Linked DNA regions of Xenopus tropicalis. The protein of the gene in region 2 binds, or shares a complex with, the protein of the main gene of each other region. Links are inferred from orthologs where the notes say so. Each region holds a gene or a part of one and is shown on either strand. Other genes may lie near its edges.

Region 1 (4,182 bases), on a different chromosome or scaffold from region 2:
TAGCAAACACCCCAGCTGTACCAGTGCAGGAATGGCTGCCCCGGGGCTACACAGCGGGGTATTTATATAAACTATAGTAGGGTTTCTGTAGCAAACACCCCAGCTGTACCAGTGCAGGAACGGCTGCCCCCGGGGCTACACAGCGGGGTATTTATATAAACTATAGTAGGGTTTCTGTAGCAAACACCCCAGCTGTACCAGTGCAGGAATGGCTGCCCCCGGGGCTACACAGCGGGGTATTTATATAAACTATAGTAGGGTTTCTGTAGCAAACACCCCAGCTGTACCAGTGCAGGAATGGCTGCCCCCGGGGCTACACAGCAGGGTATTTATATAAACTATAGTAGGGTTTCTGTAGCAAACACCCCAGCTGTACCAGTGCAGGAATGGCTGCCCCCGGGGCTACACAGCAGGGTATTTATATAAACTATAGTAGGGTTTCTGTATATGTAATATTTTTATTACTTTAAAACAATTTCATTTTTGGTGTTTCTTTTCCTTTAAACATGTGGTATATTTTTTTTAACTGCAGGTCAGTGTGCCAAGGGTCCCCTGTAGAATAATTGCAGCTTGAAGGGCCACAGGCAGCCAGCAGCTTCTGAAACAAATACAATATCACTAGGCCGGTATGAGGCTGTACAGGGGCCCTAGAGGCAAAGGGACAATGGTGTAGGCCACTCGGTCAGCCTGACAGCAAAGGTCCCGAAGCACACGTTACAATCGCCCAAACTATTGCTTTATCGAAGCAGTTCATTGATTATTTTCACAACACCATTTTATTGAAATTGAATAAGCTAGATTTTTTTTTTTTTTCAAAGGGGGTGGGGAAAGATAAGCGGACGACAAAATGGAGACTGCAGCAGGTTAGACGCCTTCATTCCCCACAGAATGCACAATAACACATTCTGTATACCCCACGATTGAGAAACTCAATAATACTCATAACTGTGTCAGGGCAGCTTAATCCCCCTGATTTCTGCCCAAAAGCCCCGCAAAGTGTCGCCTCAAACCCCCTACAAGCTGACACTTGCCTCCCCTTCCCGCCCAGACGCGCTTCCTCCCACCCCTCCTGCTAAGACGGTTGACGTCATCTCCCCGTTGCCGAGGAAACGATGAGGTCACCCCGCTTCTCCCCTCCCTCCAGTGAAGCCGCCAGTGCTTGTTGTACTGTCAGGAGTTTAGAACTGAAGGAGAAAGGTGGAGGGGAGGGGCTTGGAGGCGGGGCTTGAAGGAAGCGGAAGTGGCGGCTGGAACGGAAGTGGAACGGCCAGTGAATCTGCAGGAGAGGAGGAGAACGGTGAGGGAAGCTGAGCTAGCCCGGGTCGAATTACTGAATCTATTGGCAGGTCGCGGATTTTTGAGGTACGTGCGATGGCAGAGAGCGTAGTGCATTCGTGTGGGAGATGGCGGCCATTCTATAGCCGCCTATGGGGTCGCTCCTTACAAGGGCGGGGATCTGTGCGCGGCCTGGATCCCTTTCCCCAGCGCCTGGGGCTCAACATCCGCTCGCTTTCCCCATTGGGGCCCCCTTAGTACCCCACACCCTCCGATGCGCAGGGTAACCTCGCCCGATCCGTAGGCCTCTTTCCGACCCTGTCAGCCGTATTATCCCCAGCCCTGCCCTTACACAGCTCCCAGCATTTCCCGTTACATGCTTTCCCTGTTAAATGGAAAATACGTATATAATTAATAGACTTTTTTTCTTTGTTATGGAAAACCTATAACCGCACATTATTGATTATTTTTTTTTTACCCCTTAATGTCATTCGTTGCCGGTGCCCCAAAGCTTTTTGTAGGCAATATCTCATTTAACCTATAGACGTCATTGAAACAGCGACACCTAGTGGCCAGATGCTTGTATAGTGTCACAAAGCAATACCGCAATACTGAAAAAGCACCAAGATAGTCCCCTGTAATTCGCTGCAGAAGAGTGTATACAGCCAGCACACACCTTATATACAATAGGTTTCATATACATATACAATGTGTTTCATAATATCAATCAGGAAGTGATCTCTTTATTTCTGCAGCAGCAGGAAGTGGCAAATCAGGGAAACAAATGCTCCATTTGGGGATATCTACAATTATACAGGATCAGCAACTCTATGGGGTGTTTATTTGTAGCCTTTCCAAGCCCTGATCTATATGCAGGCCTATTTATCATTATCTACACTTTCTAGGCAGCCTGAGGGCTACAGTTCACATACACTAGATCCCAATTACTGAATCCGGTAGCTAAATTGTCATGCAAACCAAGAATGTCATCTATAGTTGTACATTACATTAACATTTATTTATAAAGCGCCAACATATTCCGCAGCGCTGTACAATAAGTGGGTTACATACATTGGACATACAGAGTAACATATAAAGCAATCAATAACTGATACAAGAGGTGAAGAGAGCCCTGCCCAAAAGAGCTTACAATCTACAAGATAGCACTGCAACTAGCAACATCCTTGTACAGGTATGGGATCCCTTATCCGGAAACCCATTATCCAGAAAGTTCCGAATTACATAAATGCCATCTCCCATAGACTTCATTATAAGCAAATAATGTAATAATAAAACAGTACCTGTACTTGATCCCAACTAAGATATAATTACCCCTTATTGGGGCAGAACAGCCCTATTGGGTTTATTTAATGGTTAAATGATTCCCTTTTCTCTGTAATAATAAAACAGTACCTGTACTTGATCCCAACTAAGATATAATTACCCCTTATTGGGGGCAGAACAGCCCTATTGGGTTTATTTAATGGTTAAATGATTCCCTTTTCTCTGTAATAATAAAACAGTACCTGTACTTGATCCCAACTAAGATATAATTACCCCTTATTGGGGGCAGAACAGCCCTATTGGGTTTATTTCATGGTTAAATGATTCCCTTTTCTCTGTAATAATAAAACAGTACCTGTACTTGATCCCAACTAAGATATAATTACCCCTTATTGGGGGCAGAACAGCCCTATTGGGTTTATTTAATGGTTAAATGATTCCCTTTTCTCTGTAATAATAAAACAGTACCTGTACTTGATCCCAACTAAGATATAATTACCCCTTATTGGGGCAGAACAGCACTATTGGGTTTATTTCATGGTTAAATGATTCCCTTTTCTCTGTAATAATAAAACAGCACCTGTACTTGATCCCAACTAAGATATAATTAATTCTTTCTGGAGGCAAAACAAACCCATTGGGTTTATCCAATATTTAAATGATTTAACTTAAATTGTGGAGATCCAAATTACAGAATGATCCCTTATCCGGAAAACCCCAGGTCCTAAGCATTCTGGATAACAGGTCCCATACCTGTATAACAAAGGGTTGCTGTGGGCCCTTGGGCTTATCATTCAGCCACTAGAAGGTAGTTGGTATTTCCTAAATAAAGTTGGCACTTATCTGGCTTTGCAGATAATGGATCTTTCCATTATTTGGGTCACCATACCTTGAGGCCTGCTAAAAAATAGTTTAACCATTAAATAAACCCAGTAGAATTTTAGCTTAGTTCCCATCAAGTACACAGTACTATTTAATACAGAAGAAAGGGATCTCGGTAAAATACATTTGAATTATTTACTTATAATGTGCTCTATGGGAGATGCTCTTCCTGTAATTCGTAGGTTTTTGGATAACGGGTTTTGGGTTAAAGGGATCCTATACCTGTTCCAATTTATCCATCTAGAGATATGAGTATATGCCCATATAGTGAGATGATATACAGCCATATAGGAAAAGGTCTGCCAATCTATACACACATTTCCTGATCTCCCATGTAGCCCCTAAGCCGCGCTTAATCAATACATTTCTTGGCTCCTTATTCAGCTGATGGTCAGTATTGATCCCTGACAAGCTGCCTTTAATCCTGCTATGACTCCCATCCATATTTCATGTGTACAGCTCTTAAAAAATCAGAAGTCTATCTCAAAAGTCTATCAAACAAAGGCATGCTTGGCTATATGAATAATTAATAATGGCACGTTTAGAGTGAGAATATAAACGTTCTGCCCAGTGTGCCTTGCCATGATTAAGCAGTTTGGTTCTGGAGTGCTGCATTGCATTCTATGTACCAGCAGAGTTTATGCCAACAAAACATTTTTTTTTTTAAATTCTTCTAACGTTTTAATTGCTTTTTTCTTTTACTCAGGATTAGCACTGTGGTTGCATATTTGCTCTGCATAC
Region 2 (4,138 bases):
AGATTCAGGGTAGGGGGCTTCCTCTCCATCTCTTTTCATACTTTAATTAATGGATATCAATACCTGGAAATACAATGTTGCCACACAGTAGAGTCACCATCTGAGGTGTTTTTAAAATAATAATCATAAAAATACTTCAGCTTGTTTGAAACGCAAGGGATACATTTCTTATGGTAGGAATGATGCAATATGAAAGCATGTGTATTTCTAGATCTGTAAACACTTTCTGGGTCAATAAAAAAAACTAAATTGTACATAACAAGTGTCTATTGGTCTGATGTTAATTTGATTATCACAAGGGTAATGATTAGCCTGGTCTATTAGCCTATTGAAGATGGTGGCCCCTGGGCAAGTAAACTCCCAGTATATGATTCTGTAACAATCAGGCTTTATAAGATGTAAGAAAGCATGATATATACATTGATACACCTCTCTTAGCCATTGCTCTGTGAAAGGGATTTGAGTCAACATTGGTTATTGGAATTTTTTAGGAGTCTACTCTTATAGAGACTTTGTTAGTAAAACACATGTTGAATTGCATTTACATTTTTCACAGTGCACTTTCTTTGTAAATAAGCCCTAATGGGCCACATGGAGAAAGGGGATTGAATTTACAAACTGGTTGTGACTAGGGGTATAGGACAACAAATTCTGCATTGGGGCCAATGTGCCTTTCATTACAACAATGCTATTAGTTTTTGTTTCTTACTCTCAGTTAACTGCTATGCTCCTTTATTGCCTAATAGCCTATGGCTATGTCTATGTAGTATGCACCGCTGTTTACAAATCACGCAAACTACAGTTTAACAAACAGACATAAACAGCTTGCTGCAATTGTCTTTTTATTTTGTATTTCAACAGCTTCAGTGACAAATGACCTTTTAGTCCATTTCCAAATATTTGTTGGCCTAAAATGATTTGCATTGACACTCAATTTTCTATATAATTCTAATTTATCTTAATAATTTTGCTGGATGTCATTTCTTTTTATAAAATGTTACTCTGCATACACACCCACATACACATGGTTGAATGAAATTAGAATAGGTGTCCCATTTAGCTGGCTCTGATGAATTTTGTAAAAGGTTAAACTGGCAGATTTTTAGGTAAATATGCAGAAAAAAATGGAGCACTAAAAATACAATTCCACAAAATCTGAGTTATTTCATGTAACTCGTGGAGTTAGAAATATAAGATCAAAATCAAAGTCCTTATTCCATTAAATGATAAGGTTATTCATTCTTTGCTTCAAATATGGTCACACAATAAACATCATAAGGCAGGTCTGTGCTATTTTGGTATTAAGCTTCCTTGTTTAAAGGTGATGTGTGGTAAGGCTAAGCACACCTGTTGTCCTCTGAAAATTCCAATTTCGCAAGCCAAGGCAAATGCACATAAAGGATTTTTGAGCCCAAATCCCATAACAATCAGAACAGCACAACTAATACAAGGACATGAATAAATCCAGCTGCCTGTTATGAAAATAAACTACCAGGATGGATAGAAATAATAAAGCCACTGTTATGGGACACACAAATCTTTAGCAATACCCTATCATACAATGAATTCTATTCAAATACTGGAATAACAGTGCACCTACACTGTTTTTTGCTAACAGCTCCTGCTGCTTGACCCCTGCAGTCACTATTTGATTAAATAACAAGATTATCCTTTCAGCCATGTTAATATTACAATGTGCCTTGCCTGTAAAAAATTTTGAGACATTTTAGTAGATGAGTAACAAGATTCCTGCTAACATGCTTTGTAAAACACATAGGTATATCTAGTAGCATGTCAGAGAACGACGCAGAATGTGTTCTTCAATACAGTACGTTTTATGCCTTGAAGTGCTGCTTACAATCTTTTATGTTATGGTGCATGCTATAAAAACCACCCAAAGCTAATCAAAAAACCATTTAGTGGTAGTTAACCTTAAAATTAACTTTTATATGGCATAGATAACAGTAATCTAAGGCAATTTGCAACTGGTATTCATAGATTTTTAATTATTTAAATATTTGGTTCTTCAACTTTTAATTGCCTGCTAGGGGTTAATATACTTAGCAACCAAAGTGAAGTTTTGAAATCAAAATGGAAAATGACAAAGTGATGGTCTAAACACAAAAGTAAGCAATATAGTTGCTGAGGTCAGTGACCCTGATAATCAGATTGTATTTTCAAATGGAGGCTAAGCCAAAAGGTTAGCTAGAATAGCAAATGTAATAATTAAAAAAACAATACTGAAGATCCTTTGAATCCACACAAAAAGTCAACGTAAAATTAACTTTCCCTTTGTAATGCAAACAGACGTAAACTGGTTGGGGCTACTGTAAGTGTGAAAGATAGGGTATATTACTGACAATTGTCTTGTAGTCATCTTTAGCTAATACAAGCAGTGCAGAAATATTTGCCATTGGATCTGTATTTGTGCAGGCTAAATGAAGCAAGTACAAGCAGTAAAAGTCCAAAATGCCAGCAACTGATTTATTAATCAGAGTGTTTGTTTTTTGTCCAGGGTAATAAAGATACTGCTAAATCAGGATCCTGAATGTAGAAGCTTTGAATGTTCCTGGCCTAAACTCATCAGCACCATACCATGGCACTGCACCCCACCAGAGTTAGAATGTCTCTGCCATTATTCTCTGTGCCAGTCAGTAACAGGTTAGCACAGGTATGAAGGAACTTACCTAAAGAAAATCTGTGAAAAGATGCTGGCTTTCTCCAGAGGGGATCTCTGCATGGTGACACAGTGCTGCCAGCTGCAGGCTTCTTGGCACAGTAATGTCACTCTGTCACCACTCTCGCACCTTATTCCCTCAGCCTGGTGAAGTCACTCCCTCCTTGACTCTGCCCAGGCACAGAGAGAGCCCAGCCTTTCATTCCTTCCTTCTGCTTTTCTCTCATTCTCCCTCTCCCCTCCCTTTCTCCGTTTAGGTAACAAAAAGGGGTGTGCTTGTGCTGCAAACAGAATGTGTTCTTTTAATAAGCTGAATTGTTTTCTCACAATCAGTACTGCTAAACCTCTATCATTAAGTGCATCGTATACAACATATTAAAAGCAATTCTGTACATACACAAGGAGTATATTATATATAATGTGCTCCTGCTGGCAGGATTTCTATATTTAAATAGATATCAGTTTTGTAGTCACCCCAGTGCTCCTGTCAGATGCTTCTCCCCTTCATGTGTAACAGAAATGCTGGCTATATCAACTTATTGAGAACATAAAGGTTGGGAGCACTAAGTACAGCAGGCTTGCAGCACTTCTATGCCGTGTTTGCCCCTGCCTTGTTTTTAATGTCACCAACATGAATTAACCCATGAATACTTAAGAAAACTGTCTCCCATCAGACCTTAGGGGAGTTGCAGACTTGTGTGCTGATGAAAGGTAGATCTGGTCTTTCCCTACTATTTTGGTCATTAACCTCTGGTGCTTGCACTTTATATTGCTTGAGCATAAGCAACAGTTACCTGCCCACAGAACTTATTAGTGAGGAGTATGACAATGTTCAGTATACAGAGCGAATCAAATCAGTCTCCTATGCAACCTATAAAAGTGTTGCTGCAAAAAACGTTACTTTAAGATGCAATGACCTTAGGAACGAACATAAAGGGTTTCCTGCTAAGCAATGCATTGTTACATAGTTATCTTTTACTGCACTATGCATTGCCCAGTTAATGAAGGAATGTGGGTTTGGATACTTTGGGCGAGATTACATTCCATGAGAAAGATTTATCTCTTTATTCTGTTCTAGTTTTCACCACAGAAAGAAAGGGAATTAAATTTGAAGGTAGTGTCATTCTATACAATTTTCCAATAGAATAAAAAACTGACATTTATTTTAAATGTAAACTTACAGAACATGCTAAGAATAGGGGGCTATAAGGCGTCAATTTTGCTTACTACTGACTGTTGTGAGCAAAGTACAATTTCAAGCACAATCGCCATGTCCCATAATGCCTTTTTTCCCAGAATTCCAGCATGGTTGCACACACCAGTAGATCTGACACAGCTGTGGCCAGTACATCAAAATTACTGCAATTACACTTAATTGCAAATCAGTCTCAATTGCACCAGGGCCTGGTTGATGTAGTTTCTGGTGTTAGGTGTGGGAATGACATGTGTGTCCTATTCTTT

What was found. The genes of interacting proteins can lie anywhere in the genome.
Region 1: the proteins of cftr (region 2) and ywhab are in contact, whole or in part, in a crystal structure (PDB 6HEP), measured with the Homo sapiens proteins. The link is inferred for Xenopus tropicalis from reciprocal best matches to the Homo sapiens genes CFTR and YWHAB. Residues at the interface, in NP_000483.3 of Homo sapiens: Arg764, Arg765, Arg766, Gln767, Ser768, Val769, Leu770, Asn771, Leu772, Met773; in NP_003395.1 of Homo sapiens: Arg43, Asn44, Ser47, Val48, Lys51, Arg58, Arg62, Phe119, Lys122, Arg129, Tyr130, Glu133, His166, Pro167, Ile168, Gly171, Leu174, Asn175, Val178, Glu182, Ile219, Leu222, Asp225, Asn226, Leu229, Trp230.

The regions. Positions count from the first base shown.
Region 1 is NC_030686.2:12,511,682-12,515,863, forward strand, and holds the start of ywhab (14-3-3 protein beta/alpha), read left to right. Parts: upstream 1-1,274; 5' UTR 1,275-1,362; intron 1,363-4,182. UniProt on the Homo sapiens protein: Adapter protein implicated in the regulation of a large spectrum of both general and specialized signaling pathways. Binds to a large number of partners, usually by recognition of a phosphoserine or phosphothreonine motif.
Region 2 is NC_030679.2:68,497,339-68,501,476, reverse strand, and holds the start of cftr (cystic fibrosis transmembrane conductance regulator), read right to left. Parts: upstream 2,887-4,138; 5' UTR 2,741-2,886; coding exon 2,688-2,740; intron 1-2,687. UniProt on the Homo sapiens protein: Epithelial ion channel that plays an important role in the regulation of epithelial ion and water transport and fluid homeostasis. Mediates the transport of chloride ions across the cell membrane.